Linked DNA regions of Macaca mulatta. The main gene of each other region encodes a partner of the protein of the gene in region 3 in a complex. Links are inferred from orthologs where the notes say so. Each region holds a gene or a part of one and is shown on either strand. Other genes may lie near its edges.

What was found.
Region 1: APBA1 (region 3) and LIN7B share a complex: the UniProt entries of both Homo sapiens proteins name them as parts of the brain-specific heterotrimeric complex. The link is inferred for Macaca mulatta from reciprocal best matches to the Homo sapiens genes APBA1 and LIN7B.
Region 2: APBA1 (region 3) and LIN7A share a complex: the UniProt entries of both Homo sapiens proteins name them as parts of the brain-specific heterotrimeric complex. The link is inferred for Macaca mulatta from reciprocal best matches to the Homo sapiens genes APBA1 and LIN7A.

The regions. Positions count from the first base shown.
Region 1 is NC_133424.1:61,566,283-61,570,366, forward strand, and holds the start of LIN7B (protein lin-7 homolog B), read left to right. Parts: upstream 1-1,272; 5' UTR 1,273-1,310; coding exon 1,311-1,347; intron 1,348-1,741; coding exon 1,742-1,860; intron 1,861-2,152; coding exon 2,153-2,224; intron 2,225-3,137; coding exon 3,138-3,347; intron 3,348-4,084. UniProt on the Homo sapiens protein: Plays a role in establishing and maintaining the asymmetric distribution of channels and receptors at the plasma membrane of polarized cells.
Region 2 is NC_133416.1:88,057,979-88,062,312, reverse strand, and holds the start of LIN7A (protein lin-7 homolog A), read left to right. Parts: upstream 1-1,514; 5' UTR 1,515-1,726; coding exon 1,727-1,808; intron 1,809-2,015; exon of another isoform or gene 2,016-2,130; coding exon of another isoform or gene 2,131-2,585; intron 2,586-2,729; coding exon of another isoform or gene 2,730-2,913; exon of another isoform or gene 2,914-4,334. Other genes in the region: uncharacterized protein LOC114670904, read right to left, coding at 2,131-2,585, 2,730-2,913. UniProt on the Homo sapiens protein: Plays a role in establishing and maintaining the asymmetric distribution of channels and receptors at the plasma membrane of polarized cells.
Region 3 is NC_133420.1:100,467,894-100,471,429, forward strand, and holds part of APBA1 (amyloid-beta A4 precursor protein-binding family A member 1), read right to left. Parts: intron 3,106-3,536; coding exon 2,986-3,105; intron 878-2,985; coding exon 737-877; intron 1-736. UniProt on the Homo sapiens protein: Putative function in synaptic vesicle exocytosis by binding to Munc18-1, an essential component of the synaptic vesicle exocytotic machinery. May modulate processing of the amyloid-beta precursor protein (APP) and hence formation of APP-beta.

The DNA.
Region 1 (4,084 bases), on a different chromosome or scaffold from region 3:
GGAGTACCGGCGCACACCACCATGCCGGCTATTTTTTTTTTTTTGTATTTTCGTAGAGACGGGGTTTCACCATGTTGTCCAAGCTGGTCTCGAACTTCTTTTTTTTTTTTTTTTTTTTTTTTTTTTTTGAGACGGAGTCTCGCTCTGCCGCCCAGGCTGGAGTGCAGTGGCCGGATGTCGGCTCACTGCAAGCTCCGCCTCCCGGGTTTACGCCATTCTCCTGCCTCAGCCTCCCGAGTAGCTGGGACTACAGGCGCCCGCCACCTCGCCCGGCTAGTTTTTTGTATTTTTTTAGTAGAGACGGGGTTTCACCGTGTTAGCCAGGATGGTCTCGATCTCCTGACCTCGTGATCCGCCCGTCTCGGCCTCCCAAAGTGCTGGGATTACAGGCTTGAGCCACCGCGCCCGGCCGGTCTCGAACTTCTGAGCTCAGGCTATCCGCCCCCCTCAGCCTCCCAAAGTGCTAGGATTACAGGCGTGAGCCAGCGCGTCCGGCCCCAGTGATCTTAAAATACAAATCTGAGACCCAACCTAGGCGACAGAGCGAGGCTCCGTCTCAATAATAATAATAATAATAATAATAATACAAATTTGAGTGTCATATTTTACTCTTAGGAGTTTGCATGAAGCCCCAAATCCTCAAGGCGCATATGCCAACGCAGGAGCCCAGGCATAAACTGTATCCTGCCGGCCTTTTCACCTCATCATCAACCAATCCTAACTCTGCTTCCAGCCCTGTGGACTCTTTCTGCGTGGTGGGGGTGACCCAAGCTCCACCTCTTGTTCATCTTACCTCCCAGGACTGTATGTCAATGTCCCTGCTCTAGGATCTCCTTCGTCTTCTAGATCCTTACCTCCCCACTCTCAGCTCTCATTACAGCCGTGGCTGGTGGTCTACCTCTCCCATAGACTGGAAGCTCCGTTTGGGCCGTGGGCTTGGCTGCCCTGCTCACCACAGTGTCCATGCCTTGGGCCCAGATGTTTCACAGGAGTTTGTTGAATGAATGTGGGAAAAGAATGGACAGGGGATAGACAGGTGTGGAGGGCAGGCAGACACTGATCCTGAAAGAGAAACACAGACCGAACCTACAACGGGAGGAGTCGCCAACAGGACCGACGGGCCGGGACGGAGGGCAGGGCCGCGGGTGGCGCGCGGCAGGGGGGTCGGGACAGTCCGGCGCGGGGGAGCTGGGCGCTCTCCAGGCTGCGCCTCCGCAGGGGGCGCCCGTGGCCCGGGGCGTGGCCTCGCGCAGCCCCGCCCTCCTCGCCCGCGCCGGGGCAGGCGGGCCGCTGGCAGCTGTGGCGCCGACATGGCTGCGCTGGTGGAGCCGCTGGGGCTGGAGCGGGGTAAGCGCGCGCCAGGGGGCCCTGCCCACCCGGGCCGCGGCCTGCATACCCAGCCCCCGGTCCCCGCCCTTCCCAGGCCAGGCCAGTGCGGGTGGGCCAGCGGACCCGGCGGGGTGGGCGGGGCGGGCGCCGGGGCCGGGCGGTCGCGGGGTGTGGGAGGCTCCCTGAGCCCAGGCCGGGGCGGGGGGCGCCCGCCTTACACCCCGGCCTGTGGAGGGGTCCTGGGGCTGCAGGGCGCCCGGCTGGTGGCGGTCTCTCCTGCGCCACCCTGGACTCTGCGGGGTGTCCGACTGGGCTTCGGCGGTCCTCCCTGGACTGTGCGCTCGGCCTCACTCCGCCGCTCTCCTTGCTTCTCTGCGTCTCGGGGTCTCTGCGCCCCGCCCCCGCCCCGCAGACGTGTCCCGGGCGGTTGAGCTCCTCGAGCGGCTCCAGCGCAGCGGGGAGCTGCCCCCGCAGAAGCTGCAGGCCCTCCAGCGAGTCCTGCAGAGCCGCTTCTGCTCCGCTATTCGAGAGGTGAGCGGCGCGCGGCGCAAGGGCGCGAGCTGGTGGCCGCCGTCCTCTTCCTCCTCCTCCTGCTAGTCCCGAGCCCGGGGACTACGCCTCCCGGCAGCTCCCGAGGCGGCCAGCCTTGGGGTGCCCACGCTTCAGCTCAGTGGTTCTTCGGGAGTTGTAGTTTCCTCCGGCTCCGGTTGCGGGGGCGGGGCGGATCCTTGCGTGGCAGCGGGAGAGGGTCTAGGGGCCCGGACTCCTGCGTCTAGGGCTGGAGGAACTGGCAGCTCCCTGATGCCGCTGCCTCCTCACCCAGGTGTATGAGCAGCTTTATGACACGCTGGACATCACTGGCAGCGCCGAAATCCGAGCCCATGCCACAGCCAAGGTGGGCCCCGCACCTCATTGCTCCTGGTGTCTATTTAACTGCCTGGTCGAGCTCAGTATCTCCTTCATGCCAGTCATTTCTGTTTCCTCCCTCATGATTTTTGCTAAATCTATGTGCCACTCTTACCATTATTAAATAATCGCACATTTTTAACTTAAATGTCATACGAAGGCGTCTTTAGCAACTGCAAATGGAAACCAGTGTGGCATGACTGGCTAGAAGATAACCTTCAACATCTGTACAGTGAAACCAGGGAAGTCATGGCGCTCTGATCTCTCACTGCACAATAGTGAGATGCTACCTCTTGCTGCTGCCCAGAGGCTCGGATCTCCCTCCAAGCCTGGCTTTCATCTGTTTAAAAGTAAGATTGCGGCCAGGCACGGTGACTCACGCCTATAATCCCAACACTTTGGGAGGCCGAGTCAGGTGGCTCACTTGAGGTCAGGAGTTCGAGACCAGCCTGGCCAACATGGTGAAACCCCATCTCTATAGAAATACAAAAAAAAAAAAAAGCCGATCGTGGTGGCGGGTGCCTGTAATCCCAGCTACTCGGGAGGCTGAGACAGGAGAATCGCTTGAACTCAGGAGGCCGAGGTTGCAGTGAGCCAAGATCATGCCACTGCACTCCAGCCTGGGCAACAGAGCGAGACTTCATCTCAAAAAAAAAAAAAAAAAAAAAGATTGGCAAGTATGGGGTATTCAAGACACACACCAAATGGACACTTTCTCTTGCAAGTGAACAGAAAGGGACGCACAGTCATTAAAGGGGGATCTTGCATTGTGCCATGGCACGTGTCCCATGTTTGGGGATAGTAACCCAGGCTAAATCGCTGTCCTCGGTTCAGATCCCCCACCCCAGCCTTCTTGCCCACCTGGCAGGGGCCCTCATCTTCAGTCGCTTTCTCTCTCCCAGGCCACAGTGGCTGCCTTCACAGCCAGCGAGGGCCACGCACATCCCAGGGTAGTGGAGCTACCCAAGACGGATGAGGGCCTGGGCTTCAACATCATGGGTGGCAAAGAGCAGAACTCGCCCATCTACATCTCCCGGGTCATCCCGGGGGGTGTGGCTGACCGCCATGGAGGCCTCAAGCGTGGGGACCAACTGTTGTCGGTGAACGGTGTGGTGAGTGGAGGGCTGAGGCAGGACTGCGGGACACAGTCTGTCTAAGGTAGCATAGCCCCTGCTTTTGACATTCACTCAACACACACTGACTGAGCTCTGCCTCTATGGCTAGCCCTGTGCTGGCCAGTGTTACAGACCCTGAGAGATGTTGGTCTCAGCTCCTACACTCAACCTTCCCTCTCTGGGGAGGGCAGTAGGCCTCGGCTGAAATAGTCCTAAGCCAGAGACATAATAATGAGGAACTGCAAAGTACTGTGACAGCCCAGATGTGGCACCTGGCCAACATACATACAGGAAAGTTTTGCAGAGTAAGGAACATTTGGGTTGGGTGTTGAAGGATGAGTAGGAGTTCTCCAGGCAAACAAGGTAAAGGGTGTTCCTGCTGAGGGTACTGTAGATAAGGATAAGGACTTGGCATACCTCTGAGCTGAAAAGAAAGGGCTTAGTTCTGAGGGAGGTCTGGGGCATGCAGGTAATTAAAATCACTGTGGTTAGGCAGGCTGTGGTGCCTCACACCTGTAATCCCAGCAATTTGGGAGGCCGAGGCAGGTGGATCACTTGAGGTCAGCAGTTCAAGACCAGCCTGGCCAACATCGTGAAACCCCGTCTCTACTGAAAGTACAAAAAATCAGCCGGGCGTGGTGGCAGTCATCTGTAATTCCTGCTACTTGGGAGGCTGAGGCAGGGGAATCACTTGAACCTGGGAGGCAGAGGTTGCAGTGAGCCGAGATAGTGCC
Region 2 (4,334 bases), on a different chromosome or scaffold from region 3:
TCCTCATATGACAGAATCTCTTTGAGGTTGAATAATATTTTCACCGTATGACAGAGGAGGAAACAGGATCAGTGAGAAATTGTGTGACTTCTGAAGAGCACATAACTAAGACTCAAATGTCAAGACCAGCATTCTTCCTTAAATACTAAATAAAAATAAGCATATTGAACTACTATTTTAGGTTTGTTTTTAGGGTCTGTTAAGTCTATATATGGCCAATCATCTTTGGCTTTCCCACATTGGTGAAATGTTGCTTTTTAAAATTCAATTGTAGACTATAAAATGAAAAAGACCTTCAGAAACCATATCTGTAATCAGAAGAAAATGGCATCAATTATATGCAAATATTTTGCTATAAAACTGTATCTGCCTTTTAGAGTTTATTGCTAGCCCAAACAATTCAGCTCTGTCACAGGGAACAAGATGGAGGCAGCTTTGTCATTTCCAATCCTGCACCCACAGTCACCCCTATTCAGCTTATAGAAGGTTTCTTTATGTCAGGAAATGAATCCCTACTATGACAAGATAGTGAAAGTAGCCTTTTTATTGGGGCGAAGAGGTCACAGTCAGTATTTGAAGGCTCTTGTAATTTAATCCTGATCAACTGGCTCTAAAGTCAAGCTTTTAATAACACCATCTCCCACTAGATTACAGGCTACAGGAAGTCAGAGACTAAATTGAACTCCTAAATCAAGGCGTGGCACAAGGCAATGTAACTCTTCTATCTCAATTCCTGGCATATTTGTTAATCAATAAGTGACATCTCTGACCCACTGGTTAGAAATCAACATGAAAAGTGCTAGGCACATATTTTTCAAACTAAGTGATAGACAACCAAAATCAGTTTGGACATTAAGAGCAAAGTTTTTGTTGAGTGGCTGGGCGGGAGTGGGACATGTTTACAAGACGTGGTATGTAAAAAATTTGGAGAAAATCTGAACACTCTACTTGTTTCTGAGCTACATTTACTGAATTGGTAATGTATTAACAGTGGCTTGAAAAAGAAAAGAAAACTTAGGGATAGAAACTTACCCCCATGCTTTTTATTTTGAAGCACTTCTAAGAGGTTTGCTATATTTTTTTTTTCCAGGCAATATACTCAGATCCTAAATGAACATCTACTGATGGAACTCTGGCCTTTAGTCAGTTATCTTTATATGCCGTTATAGGTCAACATTCCGAAAAACTTCAACAGAAATTAACTGCAAATGTAATTGCATCCCAAACATTTCTGACACTGAAGCATTTTCTCTCTAAAGGAGATGGGATTATTGGATTGGCAATTTCTCTTAATCTGAGAAAACTCATCTCCCACTCCCTCCCCCATATCCCCTTTCTATCCTCTCTCTTCCCCTGACACACACGCACACGCATGCACACACGTATATTCTGACCATTTTATTAGAGTGGAAAGTTGAAAGAAAGCAGTCCGCCAGCTACACCCACCCAGTGCTCCTGGGGGTGGAATAGCAAAGTTCCAGGGCAGAGCCTTCCCTCCCAGAGCCCGGCGATGCAGTCGCTCTCGGATACCTGCTCAGCTCCGCACCGCAACTGAAAGATCTGCCGCCGCGGAACAGTTGCCTCTCCATCTGGCTACCAACCCACCCAAGCTTTCTTCTCCACCACCACCACCTTCTTTCTTCCCCCTCCTCCCCCTCCTTTCCGTCTTCCCTCTCCACCCCCGCCCCCAATCTCCTCCTTTTTTTCTCACTACGAGCGGTTGCTGATGCTGAAGCCGAGCGTCACTTCGGCTCCCACGGCAGACATGGCGACATTGACAGTGGTCCAGCCGCTCACCCTGGACAGAGGTAAGGGAGCGGCTCGCTAGCCAGGCCACCGCGTCCCCTCTCCCCTCCGCCCTCCCCCGCCTGCCAATTCCCACCGGGACACGGGACGCGCTCGGGCCGGGGGAGAAGGGGAGCGAGGACGAGCCAGGAAGACGTTCGCGCCTAGAGCAGGACACTTTCTTCCCTTCTCTCTCCCCGCTACATCCCCGCTGCCCCTTCCCACTGTACTCGCCCCGCCGAGGGGACTCCTCCTTCTGGCTCTAGGGTCCCCGCTGCCACTCCCAGTCCCTCGCCGGGTCGTCTCCGGGCCTCTGGCTTTGTTGGAGCGGCTGCTTGGGGACGGCTAGGCGCCAGGGGCTCGGGGTTGGAGAGGGGCAGAGAGCAAGCTCGCCCGGCCGGAGCCCAGAGGAGACCGGCGAGGGAGCCGCCTGTCAGCCTGCTCGGCGCGGGGGCGCGGGAGGAAGGAAGTTTGTCCAGGCGCCGGAGGGCGAGGGTCGGTCCAACTGCTGGAGTCAGGGCGGCCGCTCGGGGGGCGGGCTGGGCGCACCCCGGGGCGGCCGGGCGCACAGTGGCGGGGCTGCAGCAGGCAGGTAGCTGCCCTCCGCCGAAAGGGCAAGGCAGAGCGCGGGGAGCCGAGCCCCAGCAGCCGAGTTCGGCTCTCCCCGGCTTCGCGTTCGAAAGCGGCGAGGGTCGCGTCTGCTCCCGCCGCCGGCAGCTCCCAGTCGGTAGCAACTCTCGGCTTCTCCCGCGCCAGCCTCTCTCGTCCTCTCCCAGCTCTGTGCCACCGCGGCGCCCGGGCTGCGGAAGGCGCGGGGACAAAGCGCAGGTCGGGTTAAAATTCAACTTCTGACCTGCGACCCAGTCAGTCCTGCTCTCTGACCCGAATGGGGAAAGTGTTCTCTTCCTCCCCAGGACGCCCCCACCAAGCTCAGGGATGGAGACCTCTGCTGCGATCCGGGCCTCGCTGGTGCACCCGCGCGGGGTTATACCTGTCCCTGAGTGTATGGGTTTCCTTCCTGGCTTCCAACGTCCAGTGATGAAGGCGCTCGAGTCCCACGGCTCTGCAGAGGAGGACACCCGCTAGTCCCTCTCCGCAGCCGCCGGATTTAGGACCCTGGGCGGCCATTTGGAAATTGTGTGCTCAGAAGAAAAATGATTTAGTCCGATGTACCTCTAAAAATTTTCTTTCTAGAGGATTAAACTGAACGGTGGGGCAAGGCAAAAGAGCATCCTGCTGGGAGTACAGTGACAAAGCCAGTGAACTCAGTTTGAGGTTTTTAATTTGAAGAGACTGTGGGTGACTTTACGCAATCTGTTGGCGCCAGAGCAGATGTTATGTGGTGCCCATAGCAACCTTTCTTAGGATAAGAGTTGAAAAATAAAATGTAATTGATTTTATATTAGAAAATGTTGATTTGCAAGCTGGCAAAATTAATAACAGTAGTTAAAGACCTCAGAAATCCATTGTATAATCCATGATCTTACCCACAATATCATCATCTGCACTAAGCAGGATAAATCCATTGCCGGTAAGAACCAAACAGATGGCAAGCTATCAGAAACTATGGGCTTCCCAAGTATTTATGTTTTAATGTGATGTGCTCTTATATTGTCCCATTACAAAATCACAGTCATTAAACATCCCAAACCAAGTGACTACATTAGGAGCAAAAACTCCAAGAAGATTGCATACTTGAGTCATTTTATATACTACCACTACTACTACTAATAAAAATATTTCAATGTTTGGTTTTTACCCTAGCCCTTAGATGCCTCAGTCAGTTGTTGAGAGGAGGTGCTAATCGGACTAAGATTTATTCTTAAAGTTTGTTCTTGTTCACAACCAAACTCTACTTGTCCTTCTGAGTGTGATTACGCCCATGGAGTAGCTCAGGAGGCAAACAGGGTTACCCTGTGGATAGGTCTGAAAAAATTCACCAGCAGCTCATGAAAATCTATAACCAAGAGATGATGGGTTATTGGCATCACCACTGAGCATAAAGTCAATATAAATAAATAATTGTTCTCTGTACCTTATTAAAATATGATTAATTGATTACTTTCATTATTAAACTGATGAAAGAAAAGGTTCTAAAAATTTCCCTGCAAAAAAAGGTGCATTTTAAAAGAGGCAGCCCAGTATTACATATCTGGGTCCCAGTTGTAACTCTGATACTCACTCTGCATATATGAGCCTCTTTGGACATCAGATTCTCTCTGTGCCACATCAGGAGTTTGAATTAGATGATTCTAACACTGTGCAGCTTTAGCAGTCTATAATTCAATTAATTAGAGTTAGGACTCAGTTTTTGGTCACCTACTGGGAGATTTTCCAGATCACCTCTCTCCCAGGCTGCTTTGGTACCCTTTGATATGCTTTAAATTGACTTGCTGCTTTGGCCCCATTAAAGCATTTATCACACTCTGTTGCATTTGTCTCCCTATTGGATGGAACTCCTTGAGGGAAGAGACCATTTCTAAATTCATCTTTGAATTCTCAGTGTCTGCCATAGTCCCTGACTCACAGTACAATAAAAAATTAATGTT
Region 3 (3,536 bases):
TGACAGCAGTGATGAATGACAGCAGTGATGACTGACAGCAGTGATAACTGACAGCAGTGATGACTGACAGCAGTGATAAATGAATGACAGCAGTGATGACTGACAGCAGTGATAACTGACTGACAGCAGTGATGAATGACAGCAGTGATGACTGACAGCAGTGATGACTGACAGCAGTAATGACTGACTGACAGTAGTGATGAATGACAGCAGTGATGACTGACTGACAGCAGTGATGACTGACAGCAGTAATGACTGACTGACAGCAGTGATGACTGACTGACAGCAGTGATGACTGACAGCAGTGATGACACGTCACGCCACACTGCACTGGGGTCACACCTCTGGAGGGCCACTTTGTTGATTTGACTTGAGTCTAAGAGTTAAATCTTTTAAATACATTTGGGGAGATTAACTGGGGAAAATGGAGGCAACTTAGGCAACCATACAGAAAAGCAACAGAAAGCTGAGTGTTGAAAAGAGAAGGTGAGCACATCAGATGAAAGACAAGGCTGAGGGTGACCTGATTCCATTTCATGGAGAAGCTCCCGGACAACCGCTTGCAAATGTGTTTGGCGTTTGGTCAGAGACAGATAGGTCTGCTCGTTGGGGAGTGTTCAGGATTGGAAACTCAGGGAGCTTTCCTAGAAGGACTGCTCAGGGCCACAGTGGGCATATGAGGAAGGGGCACCAGACGCGGCCCTCAGCACCACCCCCAGCCCTGGATCTCTCCTACCTCCCCAACAGCATTGGAGAGAATGTGGACGATCTTCTCGTGGGGGGTGGCCACGACGCTCTGTCCATTGATTTCAATGATCCGGTGCCCCACACGGACGCCTCCTCTCTCAGCTATTCCCCCTCTCATGAGGCTGCAGATCTGCCAGAGTCAAAGGCTGTGTTACCCTCATGGCAGAGAGTGTGGCAGGGCTGGAAGGCCGTCTTTCCCGAAAGCCCCGCCCCCGCACTCTGCTCTTGGAGAAACTGACATGGTTAGGCTTTGGGCATTTAACTCTCTTAGTGTCTTTTCACAAAAGAATAGGTGCTGTTGGTCCACATGGCCACCTTGTTCATGTGGCTTGCGCAGAGACTGTAGCACATCACTGGTTTTTACAGCACACTGAATTCTACTTCTCATCCCAGCTGGGGCTGGGTAAAAAGGGCCATTTGGGCCTGTCGCAGAGTCGCCAGTGTTTTCAAACTGTTAGCCTGTGTGACGCAGGTTAGTGTTAGTTCCCGCAGTCATGACTGGGACTCAAGCACTCAAGCACCGAAGTGTTTAATGCAGCAGATTGTTTTTAGGGTCACAATTGCCTGAGCCACCGTGGGGCTGGAACTCCACCTCTGTGTTCCAAAGTGTGGCTGGCTGGGAGGGAGAGGCTCCTTTAGAGCTTCCCAATTCAGCGGCCCCTGTTCAAACTCCCTTCCCACAGAAACGACAGTGAGGCTGGATTTTGTGATGGCACAGTCAGCCACCACAGTGACCCGAGGCTGCAGGCGGGGCTGATGGGCCCTCCACCCTCACCTCACACACACTGCAACATAACTTTTCCCAAGAGTAGGTCTGAATTTACTAAGTTGGCTTTTCATTCCAGACCATGCACCTTTATTTTAAGTGGATGCAGACAAGATTGCAAGTGACATCTGGCAGCAACATGCTGTGTCATTCTGTGAGTGTGTGGCCCAGTTGCTCTCTCAGCTAGTCTGGGGTCAAAACATGCCTTAGGTGTTTTCCCAATGGACCCACAGGTGTTAACGACTCCTTGTTCATATCCAAACTTTTAATACTATTTAACTATGAACAAAGCAAACAAGTACAAGTGCAAACCAATGAAAAGATGATCTCAGAGCTAGACTGTAAAGAGTCAGCCTAGGTCCTCTCCTAATAAGTAAACTAGGCTACTCAGGTACGAAGAATGCAGGAAGTGGGGCTGGATATTTCAACTCCAAATGGGAAGTTCAAGGGTATTTCTAAACCTTAAAATGTATTTGGAATGATATTTTAATTATCTAGGACACTTTTTTTTTTTTTTGGAGACAGAATCTTGCTCTGTCGCCTAGGCTGGAGTACAGTGGCACAATCTCTGCTCACTGCAACCTTTGCCTCCCGGGTTCAGGTGATCCTCTTGCCTCACCCTCCTGAGTAACTGGGATTACAGGTGTCCGCCACCACACCTGGCTAATTTTTGTATTTTTAGTAGAGACTGGGTTTTGCCATGTTGGCCAGGCTGGTCTCGAACTCCTGGCCTTAAGTAATCCGTCTGGCTTCGCCTGAAGCCCAAGGTTTGAATGATCACTCAAACACCACACTGTGTGAATCCCAGTTGTGACTGTGGGAACTGAGCCGGCCCCTGCACTGCACAACCCCAGGCTTGGGAGTCAGCTGCTCTGCGGGGACTCTGTGCCGCCTGGGTGGACAGCCCAGAGGCGAGGAGGCTCTTGGAGGGTGCATCCCAAACTCTCAAGCTAGCAGCCAGGAGGACAGCCCTGCATGTCACAGAAATGCTGGGTTCTGGGCGGGAATCTCTGCTGAAGGGACTCTGTCCAGAGAGGGAGCTGAGCCTGCTTCATCCATCTTTCTTGATGGATTCCTTCAGGGAACAAACTGACTTTAAAAAAAAAAAAAAAAAAGAAAATCAAAGGCCCTGTAATACCAGCACTTTGGGAGACAGAGGCAGGCAGATCACGAGGTCAGGAGTTCAAGACCAGCCTGGCCAGTATGGTGAAACCCCATCTCTACTAAAAATACAAAAATTAGCTGGGCAGAGTGGCACATGCCTGTAGTCCCAGCTACTGAGGAGGCTGAGGCAGGAGAATCCCTTGAACCCAGGAGGTGGAGGTTGCAGTGAGCTGAGATAGTGCCACTGTACTCCATCTTGGATGACAGAGCAAGACTCCATCTCAATTAAAAAAAAAAAAAATCAAAGGCCATGCTACATTTTTATTTGTCAACATTGTGGAAAAGGATGTGGAAGGTGTTCTACTTACAATTCCGTTCTGGACACTGAAACCCAGCTGGTAGCGAAGGTCTGGTCTTCTGATTAACACGGTGGTGACCGGAGGACATCTCACAATATTCAGCTTGACTCGGGATTGATTCTTTAAGCCCTTAAACATGAATAAAGTACAGTGGGTATGGTGACCACTGAGGCAGACAGAATAAACAAAAGCAGGCAGCACCAAAGGCAAAAGAAGCCACACTGAGTTTTCCGTAGGACCCACTGCCTGCCTGCAGGCCTTCAGTGCCCAGGCTGGTACAGTCACTGCTCGGCTTCACCTACCCAGGGAAGATGCGACATGGTGCAGATGGAGCCCTTTCAGCCCATGCACAGATGGGGTTCCTGTGGGCAATGCCTTCCTTTTGGGAAGTGGACTAGGTTCAAGGGATCTGATCAAAGTACTTGCGCAACTATGAGGAAGTGTCAGATGTACTTTTTGACTTCAAAGATGAAGGAGGCACACTATTTCCCCCAGCCAGGAAAGACACGAGTGGGAAATGGATTTTCTTTCTGGAAGGCAAACTCTAGCAATGACTCCTC